Anolis sagrei: one gene and its partners. The protein of the gene in region 1 purifies or fractionates together with the protein of each later gene. This does not show direct contact. Links are inferred from orthologs where the notes say so. Each region holds a gene or a part of one and is shown on either strand. Other genes may lie near its edges.

The links.
Region 2: the proteins of INAVA (region 1) and CYTH2 purify together in Homo sapiens (co-immunoprecipitation; 3 studies listed by BioGRID and IntAct, counting the BioPlex papers as one, with this or other methods). This does not show direct contact. The link is inferred for Anolis sagrei from reciprocal best matches to the Homo sapiens genes INAVA and CYTH2.
Region 3: the proteins of INAVA (region 1) and CYTH1 purify together in Homo sapiens (co-immunoprecipitation; 3 studies listed by BioGRID and IntAct, counting the BioPlex papers as one, with this or other methods). This does not show direct contact. The link is inferred for Anolis sagrei from reciprocal best matches to the Homo sapiens genes INAVA and CYTH1.

What each region holds. Positions count from the first base shown.
Region 1 is NC_090024.1:185,461,621-185,469,689, reverse strand, and holds the start of INAVA (innate immunity activator protein), read right to left. Parts: upstream 3,093-8,069; 5' UTR 2,618-3,092; intron 1-2,617. UniProt on the Homo sapiens protein: Expressed in peripheral macrophages and intestinal myeloid-derived cells, is required for optimal PRR (pattern recognition receptor)-induced signaling, cytokine secretion, and bacterial clearance.
Region 2 is NC_090026.1:20,066,873-20,074,168, reverse strand, and holds the start of CYTH2 (cytohesin-2), read left to right. Parts: upstream 1-4,224; 5' UTR 4,225-4,347; coding exon 4,348-4,366; intron 4,367-7,296. UniProt on the Homo sapiens protein: Acts as a guanine-nucleotide exchange factor (GEF). Promotes guanine-nucleotide exchange on ARF1, ARF3 and ARF6. Activates ARF factors through replacement of GDP with GTP.
Region 3 is NC_090022.1:128,857,830-128,865,441, reverse strand, and holds the start of CYTH1 (cytohesin-1), read left to right. Parts: upstream 1-4,535; 5' UTR 4,536-4,639; coding exon 4,640-4,718; intron 4,719-7,612. UniProt on the Homo sapiens protein: Promotes guanine-nucleotide exchange on ARF1, ARF5 and ARF6. Promotes the activation of ARF factors through replacement of GDP with GTP.

The DNA of each region.
Region 1 (8,069 bases):
CGTATTTTGAACTGGGTCACTGAATCCATACTCAGATAAAGTGGGATTTTCTGCCTTGATATTCTGGGATATAGGGCTGTGTGGAAGGGCCCCCAGTCACATACTTGCAGTGGTTAGTCCAAAGTTTTCATGGTTACTGTCTAAAGAGCTATCCCAAAGAAATGTAGTTCTGTGGGGAAAGCGACATTTGAAAACATTAATCAATGGCAAATGTATTTTAGCACCGAGAAGAATTAAACTGCTGCAGATGTTTCTTATGTCCAGAAACAATTGTTTGTTCACATTCTTCTTCTTTTTCACATTCTTCTTCCAATTCTTTTCTTCTGGTTGTGTGACTAAGAGGATGATCCTTTTCCAACAAGTAGTTCCCTATTTTTTTCTTTTGTAACCAGAGATGAGAGAAATAACTTTTAAAAATCTTGATTCTGGAACTCACTGCTGGGCAACTCTGGGGGCCCTTCCACACAGCCCTCTATATCCCAGAATAGCAAGGCAGAAAATCCCGCAATACCTGTTTTGAACTGTGTAACAGTCTGGACTCAGATAACCCACTTCAAAGCAGATATTGTGGGATTTCCTGCCTTGATATTCTGGGTTTTATGGCTGTGTGGAAGGGCCCTGGGAGTTGTGCTTCAAAAGAGTAACTTCTCCAGAGAATTGTCAAAGGCTTTAATGGCCGGAATCACTGGGTTGTTGTAGGTTTTTTGCGCTCTATGGCCATGTTCTAGAAGCATTCTCTCCTGATGTTTCGCCCGCATCTATGGCAGGCATCCTCAGAGGTTGTGAGCCCACTATGAACCTCCTATGAACCTGCGTGATCCCTCCTCTTGCTCCTGCCTCCGTCACAAGCATAACTTGTGGGGACGAGGGAGAGGGCCTTCTCTGTGGTGGCCCCGTGGCTCTGGAATTCACTCCCCAGGGAGATTAGGCAAGCACCAACCCTGGCAGCCTTTAGGAAAAGTTTAAAACTTGGCTTTTCCAGTGTGCATTTGAAGAATGAATAACTAATTCCTATACCAGGTCCCGTCCCAGTGTCGATTTGTTTTTCTGATGCACTTTATCTCATCCCTCAGGGGAGATTAACCTCATTGTTTATCCCACAGAGTCTCTCACTAGACACAGCACTTTATCTACCTATCTCACCCACAGGTTTTACAATTTTTACCTTTCGCATTTGGCCCAGCTCACCCTTGTTAATCCTTGTACAGTTTTATACTCTGTTTTATTATGTTATTGTCACTATATTACCATGTCATTGTTTAGCATTTTCGCTTGATGTTATCATCTGTTTTTGTACGTATTTTATTTTATTTTGCCTTATTGTAATTGCTCAGGCTTGGCCCTATGTTAGTCACCCAAGTCTCTTTGGGAGATGGTGATGGGGTACAAAGAAAGTTATTATTGTTATTATTATTTGAAACACAACAGGATGAGTGCACAGCAAACAAGATCATGTATTGGAGAATAATGCATGCAGATCTCAATAAGATCTCAGATCCCACCCACCCCCCACCCCCCAAAACCAACTTTTCAATCTCTCCTTAAGTTTCAACTGTGACACTAATGTTTTGGCGATCTTGAAAGTGTCAGAAAACAAGCAGACAGGAAATCCATGATTTGATTCAATATACTAATTTCAAAAAAAATGATTAAAAGCCCAGTGCCAAAGGGTTTTGAGTAAATCCAGCATTTAAGGCATAAATGGGAGGATTTTTGTATGGAGACCGTGCCAGTTTTCATGATGAATTTTAAACTCACATCTTGTGTTCACTATATTTTAAGCTTTGTTCTGTGTATTTTAATATATGTATTTGTAGAAATATGTTTTATGATATGTATTTTATATAATGTTTATGATTTTATGTGTTTTAGCTATGTTGTGACCCACCTTGAGTCACAAGGAGAGGCGGGTAAGAAATAAAGATTATTATTATTATTATTATTATTATACTGACACAAAAACACAGTATGTCACTGCAAACGAGATATATGTGCTGGATTTCATATCACAAAATCACAAGTCGAATACTTCCCAAGCATCTAGGACTGTGTGATGTATTTTTGGACGATGTGCACAGATCCAAGTGAGGTGGCCTTTTGCAGTTGACAAATCGTGATTTTGTCAAAGATGATGATGATGATTATTATTATTATAGATGCAGGCAAAACATCAGGAGAGAATGCTTCTAGAACATGGCTATACAGCCCGAAAAACCTACAATAACCCAACTTCTCCAGATGCTGCTCATCAGTTTCCTTCTTCAAGAAGCATCAACCTACACACAATTTCCTCCTCAGCCATTTGCTGAGATTGTAGTACCTCTGGTAGTAGCAGGGACTCCAACAACAGGAGCTACTGGAAGAAGATCCTGCTTTTGTCTGCACTTTCCTTTAACCCTTGGTGCCCATCAAAGGATTTCAGGGGGGAAATTCCAACATAGTCAAAGAGAACTTCTGTGAACAAGCTAATGCCCAAGTTACACGAGAAAGGGATCTGTCCTTTTGTAAGAGTGCCTTGATTCCATCACATCTGTGCTTGTTTACACATATTTCCTCCCAATGGATAGAAGGTTTCATTTCACTCATCCCAAAAAGTTCTGCCCAGTGTTTCACTTACCTATTTAAAAGCAAGTCCTTCCATTTATTTGGCTTTCTGCTCTGTCCCTAAGGAGTGGAGGAAGGGGGGAGACGGCTGCTGCTGCTTCCTCCGTCTTCCAGGTTTCTCCTGCTCTTCTTGGTACTTTCCTCAAACTTCTTGAAGCTTTTCGTGCATTAGCGACATCCCCAAATGTGAAAAGATCCGAAGACATCTGTCCCTGGGGCAGACCACTCCCTGGGAGAAAATAGGGGAATCTCTCTCCTCAATGTGCTCCATTACAAAGGAATGGGGGGATTTCCAAGAATTCCCTGGGACATGTAGTGCAAAGACATCCCACGCTGCAAGATTCCCCTTTTTAAATTTGTTGATATTGCAGTTTTCTGTTAATTTCTGGTTTGATAAGGGGATAATCGCCTCCCCCTTTCTTATCCCATTTTCCAGCCCAGCTTGCTCCAGCCCTCGTGGTAGGAAAGAGTCATTTGCTGAATCAAAGCACTTCTTCCCGGCAATACAATGCCTCCCCTGTGGCGGATTTTTGTGCCGTGAGAACGTGTGAAAGAATGGCATCAGAGAGATCTCCCCAGAAGGAAAGTGTGCAGGGCAGCTGGCTATTAATGTCGTATTAGTGATGGATTAGCAGAAGGCTTTGCCAGATAGACCGAGCCTAGCTTGGCAAAACTAATAAGCTAGCTCACAGCAAGGGGCCAGGAATGCCTGCCTCCAAGTTCTTTGGACAAAGATGGGGAGGATATAATAGGATTCAGGGAAACAGAAAAATCCACAGGTGAATGTACTGCGTTGCTTGGGGTAGCCAAGTGATAGACTGGGGGTGCATCTTAACAGAGTAGTGAAGTGGGCCAAAACTAACAAAATGAAGTTCAACAGGGACAAATGCAAGATACTCCACTTAGGCAGAAAAAATGAAATGCAAAGATACAGAATGGGGGACACCTGGCTCGAGAGCAATACCTGTGTGAAAAAGATCTTGGAGTCCTCGTGAACAACAAGTTAAAGATGAGCCAACAATGTGATGCAGTGGCAAAAAAAAGCCAATGGGATTTTGGCCTGCATCAATAGTAGTATAGTGTCTAGATTCAGGGAAGTAATGCTACCCCTCTATTCTGCCTTGGTTAGACCACACCTGGAATATTGTGTCCAATTCTGGGCACCACAATTGAAGAGAGATATTGACAAGTTGGAATGTGTCCAGAGGAGGGTGACTAAAACGATCAAGGGTCTGGAGAGCAAGCCCTATGAGGAGTGGCTTAAAGAGTTGGGCATGTTTAGCCTTCAGAAGAGAAGGCTGAGAGGAGACATGATGAGGGCCATGGATAAATATGTGAGAAGAAGTCATGGGGAGGAGGAAGCAAGGTTGTTTTCTGCTGCCTTGGAGACTAGGACACAGAACAATGTCTTCAAATTACAGGAAAGGAGATTCCATCTGAACATTAGGAAGAACTTCCTGACTGTGGGAGCTGTTCGGCAATGGAACTCTCTCCTCCAGAGTGTGGTGGAGGCTCCTTCTTTGGAGGCTTTTAAACAGAGGCTGGATGGCCATCTGTCAGGGGTGCTTTCAATGCAATTTTCCTACTTCTTGGCAGGGGGTTGGACTGAATGGCCCATGCGGTCTCTTCCAAATCTATGATTCTATGATTCTATCTACACAACAGAATTAATTCACTGGGTTGCTGTGAGTTTTCTGGGCTGTATGGCCATGTTCCAGAAGCATTCTCTTCTGACATTTTACCTGCATATATGGTAGGCATCCCAACCTCTGAGGATGCCTGCCATAGATGCAGGCAAAATGTCAGGAGGGACTGCTTCTGGAACATAACCATTCAAACCGGAAAATTCATAACAACCCAGTGATTCCAGCCATGAAAGCCTTCAATAATACAAATCCTTTGGAGTCTTCTGCTTAGCATCTTGTACACATTTGCTTCACCATCATTTGGAACAGTATCTAGCTGCACAATATATGTATCATTAAAATTGTATCATGTACCATTGTTGAACACCATTGGGAAACATTCAGATACAAGAGATTCATAAGTATCAAAAAGAAAGAAAAGAGTTATTTTTCCCACCCTGGACATTCCGCAGATATATAAACCTCACTTGCCTAGTTTCCAACAGACCCCTCAATTCTGAGGATGCCTGCCATAGATGTGGGTAAAATGGCAGGAGAGAATGCTTCTGGAACATGGCCATACAGCCTGGAAAACTCACAGCAACCCAGTGAAAACCGACAAAACATAATTCAGTTTTGACACCAAATTCATTGTTTGTTTGGTTGCATGCTGCAAGTCGCTTCTGGCGTGAGAGAATCAGCCATCTGCGAAGATGTTGCCGGGGGGGATGCTCAGATGTGTTGCAATGCTGCGGGAAGGCTTCTCTCATGCTGCATTTTTAAACTTTGTGTTTTTAAACATGTTACAACTGTACCATCAGTTTGCTTCTGATACCAGGCATGTAGCCAGGGGAGGGGCTCGGGGGGCTTCAGCCCCCCCCGAAATTTTCATGGTGGTTCGCGAAAAGGCCTTATTGGTGCATTATTTAAACTGTTATGTTTATTCATATCATGATCTGATCACCATACTCAATATATCCCATATGCATGGGGGTATTGGGGTAATGATACAAAAGGTTTGCTAGGCTAGACCCTCTTTCACTCAGACTCAGCCCCCCCCTGAAACTCAGCCCCCCCCCGAAACCCCCCCTGAAAAATTTTTTAGCCCCCCCCGAAACAAAATCCTGGCTACGGGCCTGTCTGATACAATAAATAAATACCACATTCATTACCATGGCTCAGTGCTACAGAATCCTGGGAGATCTATATTGTTGAAGGCTTTCATGACTGGAATCACTGGGTTGTTGTAGGTTTTCGGGCTATATGGACATGTTCTAGAAGCATTCTCTCCTGACATTTTGCCTGCATCTATGGCAGGAATCCTCAGAAGTTATAAGGTCTGTTTAAAACCTCTGAGGGTGCTTGCCATAGATGCAGGAGAAACATCAGGGGAGAATGCTTCTAGAACATAGCCATATAGCCTGAAAAACCTACAACAACCTGTGAGATATAGTTTGGTGAAGGACCAGCACTCTGCAGAGAAGCCTAAGAACTTTATAAAACTACAACTTCCCATGATTCCATTGCAGTGAAAGCAGTGTCAAACTGCAATATAGTTCCCAGATCTGGATTCTAATTTTCCACTGAGCCTTTGAACTGACTTCATGACCTCTTGCTTCTTGATACCTCACAAGTACACTGTGACAATGAAATAAGGGGGTCATACATATCTCCTTAAAGGGGGTGCCGTGGCACAGTGCATTAAACCGCTAAGATGCAGAACTTGCTGATCAGAAGGTCGGTGGTTCAAATCTGTGGGACGGAATGAGCTCCCATTGTTAGCCCCAGCTTCTGCCAACCTAGCAGTTCAAAAATATGCAAATGGAAGTAGATCCATAGGTACCGCTTCAGCAGAAAGGTAATGTCACTCTGTGCAGTCATGCTGGCCACATCACCTTAGAGGTATCTACAGACAATTCGGACTCTTTGACTTAGAAATAGAAATGAGCACTATACTATCTCCCAGAGTTGTACTTCACTAGACTTAATGTCAAAGGAAAACCTTTACCTTTAAATATCTCCTTAGGCAGGAATATACTGTTGTTGTGTGCCATTAAGTAATTTCAAATTTATAACAAGCCTAAGGTGAATGTAGCACAATATTTTCTGGGACTGAGATGGCTGTAAATAACTGAAGATATATGCAGAAAAGGAAGAGAGGTTGCACAGAGATTAGGACATTAATCATTAGATGCAGATTGCAAGAAGAGGAATTCTACATAATTAGGAAGAAGTTTCTGGTAGTAAGAGCTACTCAACAATGGAGTGGACAGCCTCAGTTGATGGTGGACTCTCCTACATCTAAGGGTTTTAAACAGTTTTGATGGCGTTAGTCAAGGATGTGCCCATCAGGTTTCCAGGTACAAGAGCAAGCAAGATTGAATGCTTGCAGAGGATGAGTCGCAGTGATCTTTTGTGAGTCCTTTTCCCTATTATGGTATTGATCCAACAATTTCCAAGGTTTGAGTATATACACCTGTCAATTGGGCGATGAAACAGGTTGGGGATCCTTCATGCTGTCTTCCTGCCAGAGCTGTTAAACCACTCTCAGAAGTTGTGTTAATTTCTCCCAAATTTATTGTGTACTAAAGCGGTTCATACTGTGCATAATGAGCAGAACTATCACACTAGTTATTATTTTTTCATGTCACCCCATTTGAAAACTGCTTTGAAAACAGTTTAATATGCTATTAAAGCATATTTGTGCTTTAACGGCATATCAAGGCATATTTGCGCTTTAATGGCGTAATATTCCACTATTTTCTTTTCTGCAGTATAAGATCCTTGGTTCTGACAGTGTTGTTCATACTGCCTAGTTTTGCCCAGACTATGCATTGCCTTAAAATATTTTTAGTTGTTCTAATACAATCATGGCATAATGTCACAGTGCTATTATGCTGTGCCTTAAACCATCACAAATGATGAGAATGAAACATAAATTACAGTGTGGTATATGGTTCTACAACAGTGTTTCTCAACCTTCCTTATGCCGTGACCCCTTAATACAGTTCCTCATGTTGTGGTGACCTCCAACCATAAAATTATTTTTGTTGCTACTTCACAACTGTAATTTTGCTACTGTTATGAATTATAATGTAAATATCTTAAATGTAGGATGTATTTTCATTCACTGGATGAAATTTGGCACGAATATCTGATACTCCCACATTTAAATACTGGTGGGTGTTTTTCGGGGGGTGGTTTAGTCATTTGGGAATTGTAGTTGCTTGGGTTTATAGTTAATCTACAATCAAAGAGCATTCTGAACTCCACCAATGATGGAATTGAATCAGACTTAGCACACAGAACTCCCATGACCAACAGAAAATACTGGAAGGGTTTGATGAGCATTGACCTTGAGTTTTGGAATTGTAGTTCACTTCCATTCAGTGGATTCAAACAGTGATAGATCTGGACCAAGCTTGGCACAAATACTCAATATGCCCAAATGTGAACACTGGTGGAATTTGGGGGAAATAGACCTTGACATTTAGGAGTTGTAGTTGCTGGGATTTAAAGTTCACCTACAATCAAAGAGCATTCTGAACCGCACAGATAGAATTGGGTCAAACTTCCCCCTCAGAACCCCCATGATCAATAGAAAATTGTGTTTTCTGATAGTCTTTGGTGACCCCTCTTACACCTCCTCCCGACTCCCAGGTTGAGAAACACTGTTCTACAATAAAGTAAAGGAGGCATTTTGGAAAACATCCCACACAGTTAAGGAATCTGAATAGAGATTTCCAAAGGTTAAGGTCAGGACTGTGATGTTTTTTCACGATAACAACAAATCATTTACAGTATAAAAATTACAAGAAAAGGGGGGTTTCAAGAGCATAA
Region 2 (7,296 bases), on another chromosome or scaffold:
ATCTCTTTTCCTGTCCACCAACGTTCCGTTTTCCGTTCTTAAGTTCGGAGTAGAGCAACTGCTTTGGGAGACGGTGGTCAGGCATCCGGACAACATGGCCTGTCCAGAGGAGTTGATGTTGGAGGACCATCGCTTCAATGCTGGTGGTCTTTGCTTCTTCCAGCACACTGACGTTTGTCCGCTTGTCCTCCCAGGAGATTTGCAGGATTTTCCGGAGGCAGCGCTGATGGAATCGTTCCAGGAGTTGCATGTGACGTCTGTAGACAGTCCACGTCTCACAAGCATAGAGCAGGGTTGGGAGGACAATAGCTTTATAGACAAGCACCTTGGTCTCCCTACGGATGTCCCGGTCCTCAAACACTCTCTGCTTCATTCGGGAAAATGCTGCACTTGCAGAGCTCAGGCGGTGTTGTATTTCGGCGTCGATGTTGACTTTGGTGGAGAGGTGGCTGCCAAGGTAGCGGAAATGGTCGACATTTTCTAACGTTACACCATTAAGCTGTATCACTGGCATTGGAGAGGGGACGGCTGGTGACTGCTGGAACAGCACTTTGGTTTTCTCGATGTTCAGTGACAGGCCAAGCTTTGTGTATGCTTCTGCAAAGGTGTTGAGAGTGGCTTGTAGATCTTCTTCCGTATGCGCACAGACGACATTGTCATCAGCATACTGGAGTTCTATAACAGATGTTGTTGTGACTTTGGTTTTGGCTTTCAGTCTGCTGAGGTTAAACAGCTTGCCATCTGTCCGATAGATGATTTCCACTCCGGTGGGAAGCTTCCCATCAACAAGGTGTCTTTATCTATGGTGGAATGGCCCTCTGTCAGGAGGGCTTTGTGTCCAGCCTGGCGGGGGGGGGGGGGGTATGTGCACTCGATGACATTTATGGGTCCCTTCTAAATCTATGGTACCACTGGGCTGGCCCTTCCAAAGACCTGCTGAGAGCCAGCCAGTGTTCGAGCTCTTGGCCTTCTCAGGCAACTTTCAATTTTCTGTTGGCTTCACAGTTACATAGGTGGAAAGCACACACTTGTGCCTTGGCAGAGTTAGGCTTCAGGTGGTTATCTTTGTAGTAGCTAGAGAGATCTTTCAGGGCATTAGTAAGCTGTTTTTTGGCTGTTTCGTCATGTGCTTATATTGTTAGGCCAAGGTCATCAGCATACATAAAGCTCTTTGTGAGTGGTGGCTGTGGCTGATTGCTAGTAAAGATGTTAAGCAAGGTCGGTGCAAGAATGCTGCCTTGAGGCAGACCATTATTTTGCCTCCTCCATCTACTTTTCCTGAGTGCAATACCACTTCCTTCCAGGTTAGATGTATAGGACTTCAGGTTTTCAAAATAACTAATAACAGTAAAATTGCACAATGTTGCTCTTGTTGAAAAAAATAAAAAATAAAAACCCAACGAATAGAGTGTGAGGTTTGTAGAATTAGACTTATGTCTGTCTTTCGTTTGTTGGTGTAGTTTCTGTGTGTTTGTGTCTATGTAAGTGTGTGTTTTGTTGGTTTGTTTCTAATGTAGCTTTGTACTTTGTTGTAGTAGCTAGTTAGTTAGCTACATAATTTTAGCATTATACATAATAAATTTTCTCCTTTTTGTGATATTATTGCTTTTCACTTAAAAAATAAAATTATTTAAAGATGGCAAATTTAGAAAAGTTAAAAATACTGAGACTGGAATGGCAGATAGATGTGATTTTAGACCAATGTAGAGTTTATTGCCTAATTTATTTTGTCTTTAAGGTTGGCCACACAGCTTTGGAGTTGATTGTTATCCTGTCAGTGATGTGGAAAAGAGACTTTCCCAAAACTTCTGACTGCCAGCTGGGCTTAAAAAAAAATCCTTCTCTGCCTTTCTCACATGATTGAACCTGTTTTTCGTTTGTGCTGGCTTATCAATAAATCAAGTAGCAACCCTTCAGATCAGCTGTGCAGAGCAGCTAATTGGCATTATTTACACAAGCATATATAGTAGAGTCTTGCTTATCCAACCTTTGCTCATCCAACATTCTGCATTATCCAATGCAGTCTACCTCTCGCCCGGATCCACAGCTGTTTCAATACATCACAATGTTTTGGTTGATTTGTTTGGTTATCTACAGCTGTCTATCAATGCTTGTATATTATATATTTCAATGCTTGTATATTATATATTACATGTAATATTGCTAATAATATTGCAGTATAGTGGAATATACTACTAATATTGTACTACACTAATAATTACAATATATTGTAAGTACCGCTGTGAGTCGCCTTCGGGCTTGAGATACAGCGGTATATAAGCAAAGTAAATAAATAAATACATATAATATTGATCATGATGTTGTAACATAATACTAATAATACAATATATAATAATTATATATTTTAAATTACATGTAATATTACTAATAATATTGCAGTATAGTGGTATAGTACAATATAGTAATATATAATGCTAATATTGTGCTATGCTAATAATATAATTAATATTATTAGAAAAAAAAGAAAATATATTGGATTTCAGTAAGGCCTTTGACAAGGTCCCCCATGACCTTCTGGCAAGGAAACTAGTCCAATGTGGGCTAGGCAAAACTACGGTGAGGTGGATCTGTAATTGGTTAAATGGACGAACCCAGAGAGTGCTCACTAATGCTTCCTCTTCATCCTGGAAAGAAGTGACGAGCGGAGTGCCGCAGGGTTCCGTCCTGGGCCTGGTCCTGTTCAACATCTTTATTAATGACTTAGATGAAGGGTTAGAAGGCAGGATCATCAAGTTTGCAGACGACACCAAATTGGGAGGGATAGCCAATACCCCAGAAGACAGGAGCAGGATTCAAAACGATCTTGACAGATTAGAGAGATGGGCCAAAACTAACAAAATGAAGTTCAACAGTGACAAATGCAAGATACTCCACTTTGGCAGGAAAAACTAAATGCAAAGATACAGAATGGGGGACGCCTGGCTCGAGAGCAGTACGTGTGAAAAAGATCTTAGAGTCCTTGTGGACAACAAGTTAAACGTGAGCCAACAATGTGATGTGGCGGCAAAAAAAAAAAAAAGCCAATGGGATTTTGGCCTGCATCAATAGGAGCATAGTGTCTAGATCTAAGGAAATAATGCTACCCCTCTATTCTGCTTTGGTTAGACCACACCTGGAATATTGTGTCCAATTCTGGGCACCACAATTCAAGAGAGATACTGACAAGCTGGAATGTGTCCAGAGGAGGGGGACTAAAATGATCAAGGGTCTGGAGAACAAGCCCTATGAGGAGCGGCTTAGGGAACTGGGCATGTTTAGCCTGAAGAAGAGAAGGCTGAGAGGAGATATGATAGCCATGTATAAATATGTGAGAGGAAGCCACAGGGAGGGGGGAGCAAGCTTGTTTTCTGCTTCCTTGGAGACTAGGACGCGGAACAATGGCTTCAAACTACAAGAGAGGAGATTCCATCTGAACATGAGGAAGAACTTCCTGACTGTGAGAGCCGTTCAGCAGTGGAACTCTCTGCCCCGGAGTGTGGTGGAGGCTCCTTCTTTGGAAGCTTTTAAACAGAGGCTGGATGGCCATCTGTCGGGGGTGATTTGAATGCAATATTCCTGCTTTTTGGCAGGGGGTTGGACTGGATGGCCCATGAGGTCTCTTCCAACTCTTTGATTCTATGATTCTATGTATATATAACTTGTAAGCTGCTCTGAGTCCCCTTCGGGGCGAGAAGGGCAGCATATAAATAAATAAATAAATAAATATACAAGCTATAGGAATGAACCCAGAGGTGCAACAGTCCTCCTCTTTCTTTAACAAGGCTACTGGCTATTTGAGTCCATAGCAACCGCCTAGGCCCCTCTTAGCAACAGTCTACTCCCTTTCTAGTTTACTCAAAAGGCGGAGCTGCTTTCCCTCCCTCTTATTGGCTGGCTCAAACGTCAGTTACCCTGATTGACACTTAAGCGTGAAGGAGGGCGGGTTCGAAAGGTGACATCTAGCGGTTCATAGATGTACAGACTTTTCCAAATGTATGAAGAGGTGGGGACAGTTCGAAGTCTATCGCATATCACGAAGCCGATCAGATGGGCAATAAGGGAAACTTTAATTGGACAACGCCCCTGTCAATATCAACCACGGAGGCGCCTATTGGTTGAGATAGACGTCTATCGTAACCATAACCGCTCCTATTGGCTCCATCGCCTCGCACTCAGGAGCGGGTTCGCGAGATCTTTCCTTCCTATTGGCCACGCTGTTCGTGAGGAGGCGGGACTTTCCTTTCCAGTTGTAAGGCCAGGCGGTTGCGGGAGGAAGGCGCAGCCGTCGAAGCCCCGAAGAAAGGAGACAAGGAGAAAGTGGGGAGCTCTGGGGACACTCTGGTCACCATGGAGGACGGTATCTATGGTAGGTTCCCCTCGATCAATCCACTGAGGGGCGTAAAAGGGGGGGGGGGAATACTGATTGCTTTGAGACCCACCCTGTAACTATAATGGGAAAATAGGCTGGGAGGGCTGAACCATTCTGTGCGAGACTAGGGGGCGGGGCCGATCCTTACAAAGAGGGGTGGGGCTGGAACGAACCAAACGAAACAGAAGGGGGGATACATAGCTAGGCGAATCCATTGTATGAAAGAAGGGAGACCCCTAATTGTATGATGGTCTGACCTGACCTGAATTCATTCAGTTATAATTACCCGGCGGGTCTGCTTTTTTCCAGACTGTACCATTCTAGTGTAGGGGGAAACTGGGCTGTACCATAGCAATAAGGATGAAGTACATTTCCCTACTGTATCAAATGGGGCCATTAAAACCTATGAACGCTGGGGGAATTCTGGGTCGTACCATTTTGTTAATAGGGGGAGGTAAAGGGAGGTGTCAAGAAACCTATTAGAATTTAAATGAGGGACTGTACCATTTCAGAGAAGGGGGAAGTGAAGAGAGGGGGCCCAGGAAGGCAGTTCCATCTTGTCTCCTGCTTATAATACATTGTATATACTTATAATATTTATAATATTATAATGTAATACAATAAATACTAATAATAATGATATTACAATTATCTATTTTATATTATACTAGCTTGGGGACCCGGCGTTGCCCGGGTTATTAGAGAAAGTGGGTAATGGCGGTTCTGTATGCCAAGTTTGGTCTTTATTGGTCTTTGGATAACGGCTGCATTATTTTCAGGAAGTGAGTGAAGGTACTGCAAGTCCCATCATCCAAAGTCCATCCTCTTTCAAACAGCAGCAGAATGTAGAGTGGATCATGGGGGCTGTATGTGGCAGGTTTGGTCTTGATTGGTCATTAGAAGAGGGTTGCAGCAATCTTTGGAAGGGAGTGGAGGTACTTGAAGTCCCATCATCCATGGTCTGTCCTCCTCCAAACTGCAGCAGGATGTAGAGTGGGTCATGGAGACTCAGTGTGCCAAGTTTGGTCTTTATCGGTAATTGGATGAGGGTTGCAGTGGTCTCAAGAATTGAGCAATGGTACTGCAAGTCCCATAATCCATGGTCCATCCCCGACCAAACCACACCAGGATGTAAAGTGGGTCATGAGAGGTCTATGTGCCAAGTTTGGTCCTGATCAGTCATTGGATGAGGTTATCAGCGGTCTCAGAATGTGAGTGATGGTACTGCAAGTCCCAACATCCATGACTCATGCTCCTCCAAACTGCAGTAGGATGTAGAGTGGGTCATGGGGGCTCTGTGTGCCAAGTTTCGTCTGTATTGGGAGTGTTCTGACCCAGCCCCCTCTGGCCTTTTCCTTTCCTCTCTTTGTTAACTCGGAATCTTGGAATTGAGGCTGGCCAATCAGAGACCATATGCAAATTTCCTTCTCATGTCCCCGTTTCTGCCATGAACTGTTTTCTCCACCAGGGGCTCCTATTGAAGCTGGCCAATCAGAGACCATATGCAAATTTCCTTCTCATGTCCCCGTTTCTGCCATGAACTGTTTTCTCCACCAGGGGCTCCTATTGAAGCTGGCCAATCAGTGACCATATGCAAATAGCACCACTGCGGCAGCCAATCAGAACGCTGCCACATACTCCTCCCGCCGCATTTCCTCTGTCCGATACAAACAAACACTCTTCTTTATTATATATACAGATGTAATATTACTAATAATATTACAGTACAATGGTATAATACAATATAGTAATATATAATACTGATATTGTGCTATGCTAATAATAATGAGATCATCTGGGGAGGCCCTGCTCTCGACCCCACCACTGTCACAAGTGAGGCTGGTGGGGACGAGGAGCAGGGCTTTCTCAGTGGTGGCCCCTCACCTGTGGAACTCACTCCCGGGGGAAATCAGGGCATCAACATCCCTCCTCACCTTTAGGAGAAGGGTGATGACCTGGTTATGGGACCAGGCCTTTGGGCAGTCCGGCAATTAAATCAGACAACCAGGCGAGTAAGACCAGCAGGATTGATGAAGTGGAATGTAAAACTAGATCTATGAGTAGCGAACGCTGACCATGTAAGAGGAGAAATTGGGTTTGTATTTGGTTTTATTGATTTTATGGTTATAATGCGTAATTGTTGTTAACTGTGTACTGATGTAATTTTGTGTATTATTGTTTTTATGATGCAGGCATCAAATTGTGCCTTTGCTTCTGTAAGCCGCCCTGAGTCCCCTTCGGGGTGAGAAGGGCGGGGTAAAAGAACCCCAAATAATAAATATTGTATGTATATATATCTTGTATAAGTTGCTCAGTCCCCTTCGGGGTGAGAAGGGCGGCATATAAGCATCATAAATAAATAAATTTAATTAATTAATTAATAAAGAAGATTATGGCTAATACTGTGGAGGAGGGAGATTGTGAGTCTGCTAGGAATTTAGCTCCCGCAAGATGTATTTTATTCCCAACCCACGTTGTTATAATAACACTTACTAATAATTTCCAATAAATTAGTATTATTTTATATCTCATTTGTGGGATGCAAAGTAGATTATGAGCTGCCAGGCTGAAAACTAGACTTTTGCTATGCTTTTAATGGTTTCATGGAAGAGAGAACTTCAGCAGGTGTCGCTTTGTCACACAATTGTCAGCATATGCTATTTGTTCAGAAGGGATTTTCCTTTATGCTCTATCTATTTTGCCATATAATGCATCTTAACTGCATTGAACTGGATTATATGGCAGTGTAGACTCATATAACCCAGTTCAATGCAGTTACCTGTATTCCGAAACTGCATTATTATATGGCATCGTAGCTGGGGCCTGAGGCTGAGAGAGTGCGACATCCCCAGGGTCACCAGTGGCCAAATGAGGGTTTGAATCCGGGTCTCTTAGAGGTATACTCCAACACTCAAACCACTACGACG
Region 3 (7,612 bases), on another chromosome or scaffold:
AAATAAAATTAAAGAACATTTTCTATTCCTGCCTATTGCAGGGAAGATAAGGGCTTCTTGCTTAGATCAATACAACCAGCAATTTTTAAAAATTGAATGCAAAATAACATAATATTTGAACAGATAATAAATGTAGGCTTACACTGAGGTAAAGTATTTCTGTATTATCTATTCACATTCTTTACTTTTTAAATATTTCCTCCCACCTCCCTTCCCTACCCTTCCCACCACATTTCCCTCTATATCTTTATCTTTAACCACAAACACAATCTTCTTAATCTTTGTACAATGTCTATGCTGGCTTCACCTTCTTCTGCTCATCTCATATAAATTGCCCATTTCTCTTTAATTACTTCTATTTTGTCCTCCTGTGAACCTTCTTGGTTTATACATGTAATGATATCCAATTGGACTTGCTCATTTTTTTCATTTCCCCATCCCCAGTCTATTACTGCCTTTCATGCTAGGGTCATTGCTTTAAATAGATCTTGGTTCTTTGCAGCAATGTTTTTATTCCCTATAATTGTCATTAACATAAGTTCCATATTGACTTGAACGGTTATTTTGAATAGTTTCCCCATAGTTTTTTTTAAATAGCTTCATTTCCTTTTTATATTTAAGACGGAAAATATGCCCCCTGGCCTTGACTCTTGGGGCTAGAATTCTTTTCAATGTAAGCTAGGCAGCTAAAATTATTGATCCTTGTATAAAGGTGATTTGAGGTTCCATTATCTGTTTTCTCTGGACATCCACGTAGTCAGCATATGTGTGTCTCTTTGTGTTTGTGTTACTAAGCCTTAGATTTTTCCAATCCTTGAATGCATGTATTAATATTGTCCTGCCAAATTTACAATAAAAGAAAAAGAAAAGAAACTATAACAGAGTGTGAGCCTCTATGGGGGAAAGGCTCCTATCTTCTTGTTATTTTTCCAGCTCTCTGGTTTTTCTTGCTTATACTGTTCCAAACACATCTTCTTCATTCCTGTCTATCCTGTTCTCCACCCTAAAAAGAAACATCTTGTCTGGACACAGTGCTTTATTTTCCACAACATTTCATTGAGCAGCACAGTTGTTTGCCAATTTCTTAAACCATTTCATTTCTACTCAATGGCATATATAGTATAATGTATAGTATAAGGTATAGTATAAAAGAATACACAATTATACGTAGTTGATGTTACTTCTGCTAATGAGAAATTATTGCCCGATTCCTGTTGACTGGTGAAAGAGGCCAAGTGCTTATTTATTGGGAATACTCATAGATGGAGTCTGAACCAATTTATTGAAACAATTGTCTTGTTCTCTGTCTGAAGAGCAAGGAGATTGAAGATAAGTGGAAATTATTTGATTTGGCTTGCTCCTGGGATAATCTAATTTAGGGAGTATTGTCTCCATGATTAACACATCTCAAAGCATACCAAATGATTAGGAAATTAAGATGTTTTTTTTCACCCTTTCTAGTCATGGAGCTTCCAGAAGCTGCATTAAAAGTACTTCATCAGAATAGAATTAACCCAGAGACTCCATCTAATTTTTTGACCAGCAGTTCCATTAGCCCTGTGGTTCCCATTCTTTTTTTGACCAGGGACCACTCTCTAACATTAGTATCAAAAGGGTTACAAATCAGTTTCTGGTCAACTTTAGATTCAGTTTGGTTATTTGGGGTGCTGATTCAGAAAATTGCATTGGCTTGACAATATAATCTCTCATTTCCAATACAGAACATATGCCATCCAGTAGTCGCCATCTAATTGCCCACAAAAAAACATATTTAATAATCTAGAGCTGATGTGGTTGTAGTAATCTTTTGTGGGTAGTTAGCCTCTCCCCTCCCAATATCCCTGTTGCCTCAGCACTATAAGAGGGTTTTGCGAGACCAGTTGCTCTTGTTGCCGCATGGTTTCAAGACAACAGTGTAGTAATGGTGAGGCTGCGGACCATATTTTATGTAGTTCTTGCAGATCGCTGGTGGTCCACGGACCACAGGTTGCAAACCATTGCATTAGCCAGATAGAGTGAATAGTGAAACTGAATAATATTTGGACAGGATCCTGAAGCTGAAGAAGAGATATATACAGTTGGCCATCTGTATCCATGAATTCTGCATGCTTAAAAATACCCCCAAAAAACCCCACCACCTTGGTTTTGTCATTTGGTGTACAGGGTACCATTTTACTACACTATTGTATATAAAGGGACTTGGGAATTTCTAGATTTGGGTATTGTGTATGCGTGTCCTGGAACCAAACCCCAGCAGATAGCAAGGGCCCACTATATAATCTTTGTGCAAGGTGTTGTGTGAAAGGTTTTGTTTCATTCCCTTTTATCCCAATAGCAATTAATTTGTCAAAAATCCTTGGGAGGCTGCAGGAGTGTTTGTAGGGCTGCATTTATGGTAAGGGTCCCATATTGATCCCTGCCCCATGCAGCCTTCAAGCATTTGGCAGACATCCCAACAGCTGTGGACCTTCTTTTCCCTCTCTCCTGCCCTGCGTTCTCTGCAGCTGAGCTGTGCACCTGTGACTGTAGATAAAACACTCCTTTGTTTCCCCTTGTGCCTTCTTCCAGTTGCTACTCTAACATGTGCTATAGAGTTTCTGGCCTCAGTGAAGGTAACAGCTATTTACAAGCCTCATGGGAAGAAGTCAGATGCAGAGTAAAAAAAGGAGGACATGAGCCCTGTTTATTGGGGCTTCAATCCTCGAGGCAAGTTATTCTTGAAGAATTCTCAGCAGTCGCAGCCCCATGCAAAGCATTGTCTATTGGGCCACTTCTTTTCACCCAGTAAACATTATTTTTCAATTCTTTGTTCCTTTGCTCTTCCTTTCTCGGCTAACAAATTCCAGAATTTGTGGTGGTTGTTTTTGTTGTTGTGTGCCTTCAAGTCATTTCCAACCTATAGTGACTCTTAAGACACACCTTTCCCAGGATAAACTTGGCACAGTTGTGCAGAAAAGGTTTGCTATTGCTCCCCTCTGAGTCTGAAGAATTTGCCCAAGGTCGCCCAGTGAATCTTTATAATCGAGCAGGAATTTGAACAGGGTATTCTGAGTCTCAACCCACCTTTTCATATGGTAATTATTTCCAGTAAGACTCAACATTTTATACGAGGGTTATCTGGAAAGTAAGGTTACAAGGTACGTAACTCTCACGGGGAAGTTGATATCATTGCAGTGTAGCGGGAAGCCAACGGAAGCAAACGAGCAGTGCCAGCCATCAGCAGCTCTTCAACTAGCATTGTGGTGAAGGTTAGAGATGAGCATCCTCATTCCATTTCCCTCCAAGTGCGAAGTTTGCGCTGTAATACACAACCTAAATGCTAAGGTTATGAACGCCGCTGCAATTCATCGCAAAATCATTTCAGTTTATTGAGAGGATGTAATGTCAAGACAGCATATAACAAAATAGATATGGGATATACTGAGACCATGAAGAAACTTCTCAGAGCCATTCAAAACAAATGTCATGGGATGCTGATGGGGGGATGCTTTAATGCAATAATTGGCTGATAGAAGAAACTTATGATCTGCCAACCATGTTTTAAAGGATACCCAGCAAGTTATAAGATAGCCAATACCTATTAGAAAAGGAAAGTGCTAGCCCAGACATGGACAAACTTTGGCCCTCCAGGTGCTTTGGACGGGCTAAAGTTTGCCCATGCCTCTGCTAGCCAAACCCCTTTCCTTGTCCAAATACTTAGCTGACCTTTCTGTTTCATGAGAACTAAAATATCCCAAATCTGTTTTTAAACCCATGAGGCTCGTCCATAGTTGCCATATTTGCCACACACTATACAATTGCAGCTCTTTTACTTTCTGAACCCTTTACATATTTGGCTAGTTTTCTCTATCTCATGTTGCTTAGATAGAAGCTGCTTCCTGAAGTATGAGATCTTTGTCTCTAGATGAGAATTGTTCTTCCTTTGAACTGTACCTGCCAGAGAGAGCTGCATGCTGCGGCTCCTGATGCTTTTCTTTTTTTCTACTGCTGGTTCCACCTCTCTCATTGTGCCATGTTATTACACTCGTCCATACTCATAAACATGTACACACACACATCACACTCTTTGGTGCCTGTACACACTATATTTTGTTCACCTTCCCTTTACGCAGCCACTGTTGCCATGCAACAGCCCAGCTTGCTAGATGCTTAAAGCCCTAAGAATGAAGCCGGATAAAACTGACCTAAAAATACCCTTTGCCCAAACCTCCTCCTGGGTAACTGGGAGGAGTGGCTGGGGCGGGCACAGAGGGAAAAGTTCCCAAACTGGACTGCCCTCTAAGTGGCTGTGTGTGTGTCTCGTCTTGTTGACCGTACCATACGGTTACAGTAAGAGTTTCCTGGCAGGTAGCTGGGATTGGCTGGCCTCACTGCGTGGGAGCCTCTGCTGTTCCTTCTGCTTCAGCTGGACCAGGGATCCCTCGCTCGGTCTCTACCCCCCCCCCCCCAAAGTCTGGAGGAGGAGGTGGTGGCAGCAGCTGCTGCTGCTTCTGCTGGAGAAAACCATTTGGTGCCTGGACTCCAGGCACTCTTCCTTACCTTCCTGTTGGCTGCCTCTGACTTGCAAGGTTTTTCTTCCCTGTCCAAGAGCAGCCACCCCACTCAGGCTTGAGAGAGGGCACCCTCTTAAAGTATCATCATGGGCACCGTGAGTGAGCTCTGTGCTTCCAGTTTCCAGGCCTTCCTCTTCCCCTCCACTTTGGCAGCAAACAAATCAGGTAGGTAACATACCCTCGCTCCCTTGTTTTCTCTCCAGAAGTATGTGGCCAGTGGTAGAAGTGAAATATATGAGGGCTGTGTACGTGTCTGCGTTACTTGTGTACTGCTATGCCCTCTCTTGCAAGATGAGTCATGACAGGCATAGGCTATCATCTTCTCCTGGCTGGAGGCGGCTAGTTAGATGAGATCTGAGGCATGCCTTCAATGTCTTTACCTGCACTGTGGCTTCCCTCTTCCAAGGCAATGTTCATGCAATAGTCAGTGTTTGACCTAACTGTGACCTTGCCTGCTTCAGCTTGTAGAATTCAAAAATCACTTAGTTTTCAGTGGGAAGGAAGTTCACCCACCCATACCCTCCTGCCAAAGTGCTTTGGCTTTGATTTCATCAACCCACCCATTCACCAAATGGTTTTATTGGAGAAATGACAAGTTGACTATCAAACTTTTATCATTGGAACAAAGCCATTACCAAAGCTAAATCTTAATCGGTAAACTGGAAATCTAACAATATTTTGGTAAAAAGCAATGATATTAGCCATGTGTCCCCTAGCCATTATGCTGCTGGTAAAAGCACAACGCAGGACCACATAACACTAGAGAATAAATCCACTTAAAATCTGGTTTCTGCCTCCTGCAGAATTCTGGGGTTTGTAGTTTAGTGTGGCTGTTAAAGGCTCCTCCCTAAACGACAAACCCCAGAATTCTGTAAGAAGCAGCAACCAGAGTTAAAGTGGATTCATTCTGTAGTGTGATGAAGTAATAAGTGTTGGTTCATGGCCTTGTGTTGGTTTAGAAGAGAGGAGAGAACATTTCTGTTTTTGATATCAGAATACATTTCTTCACACACACAAATTCAGATCAGATGTAGGGCACATTACACACCACAGGTTGACTTCCAGACGTAACTGGTTATATCTTCACAGTATCTTACCTTCTGTAAAAGCAGGAAATATTCTTAATCTCCAATTCTTTGTTCCAGAATTTGTGGTGGTTGTTTTTGTTGTTGTGTGACTCTAAGACACACCTTTCCCGGGATAAACTTGGCACAGTTGTTCAGAAACGGTTTGCTCTTGCCCCCTCTGAGGCTGAAGGAGTAGGACTTGCCCAAAGTTACCCAGCGATTTTTTATAATCGAGCAGGAATTTGAACATGGTATTCTGAGTCTCAGTCCACAAGAAAGAAAGGGACATGTATTTGAAACAGCCTTTACAAAAGATCATCTTCTCACTCAGAAGGCTGGCTGCATAGCAGTGGGATTGTGACTGTGGCCACTTGCCTGGAATCCCCAGAGTATTATAACTTTGTAATGCAATGGATCATAAATTTCTGTGGACCAAATTTGGGTTTTACCTTATGGGAATATGAATGCATGTTATATTTAAAGTAAGCTTGCTCTTGAGGCTTTGGGCCTTCTCCATTCTGAACTCAGTGTTTTCATTTTTTTATAAAAAAAATTCCTGCCATGCTGGAATATTGTGGCTGAGATATCCTATGACAAAAATGGGAAACACCAAAGCACCAAAACAGTTTTGACAAAACAGAAAACAAGGCAACTCTAGTTATTTGAGAAAGTCCAGCCAGGTATTGTTCCTATGACAGTTGAACTGGCCCTAGATTTTCCCCAGCTTGGAGAAAAGGTAAAGCTTAACCTGCTTAATGTCTGCCTGTTGAACAGAGCCACTACTGGAGGGGAAGAAAAGATGGCAATCCGGATACGGCTGTCTGGCTAGCTTGTTTTCTGTGTCTGCTCCCTTGCTGTGTGAAAAACAGATGGGCGGAGGTACTGCTTGCTCTGATAAGTTTGTGGCTTTTTGAACAAACAGTGTTCATAGCGGAGGTAGACTGATCTACTCTTAAAGCTACTTAAAAATTAGAGGCTGTTATTTCAAGTGCAGATGAACTGTACCGTGCTAAAGCTGATCTTGTAAATTTGTGCTTCCTGGTTCAGGGGCAAAGCTGCAGTCCAGGAAGTCAGGGCTGACTTGTTTGTCATTATCATCATTTGAAAGAGACATTAAGTGATTTCTGTGAACCAGAATCATTACAACTGAATGGGGCAATTAATAAAGAAGCTGGTAGCTCTTCCCAAGATCTCCAGGACCTGATTTCCCTCACCCTCCCAAGTTAGTATCCCCAAATCTTTGTTGAGCAAATGTATAGACTATCTCTGCATGGATTTGAGGGATCGGAATTTGCCAGAGCCCCCTTCCACATATCTTAATTAAAATCCCACATTATATGGCAGTGCGGACTCACATAACCCAGTTCAATGCAGATATTGTGGGATTTTCTGCCTTGATCTTCTGGGTTATACAGCTGTGTGGAAGGGCCTTTCATCTCCAAAGAATTATAGATGGAGCCTTCCCTATTCCTCCATGTCAACAGAACAATGTTTCCACTTCCCTTAATCAACCATTCAAGGAGCTGACATGCTAGTTAATGATTGCCTATTAACTGCAGTAAAATATATAGAGGTAGTCACTGAAACCAAAACTGCCAGCTTATCTTTTGTTTTCATTATGATTTTATCTATTAGTCAGAACTGCGTATTTTCTAATTTCAGGAGAACCCAGTCAGCATAGCAAAGAAGACCACATTGCTGGCCACCTGCCACAACAGTGGTTAGTGTATATCCCCAAAAGGGTACAAACAATCTTCAGAGAAATAAGTTTCATATTTAGCTTAATTGTTCTTTTTAATAAAGTACTTAATGTAGTATGACCAGGGGCGGCTCAACCCAGTACGCAAAGTAAGCATTTGCAGTATAGTTGATTTTGCCCAGGGGCGCTCTTGAGGCGCTCTTGGGGGAAAATAGACCTTGACATATGCGAGTTGTAGTTACTGGGATGTATAGTTCACCTACAATCAAAGAGCATTCTGAACTCCACAAATA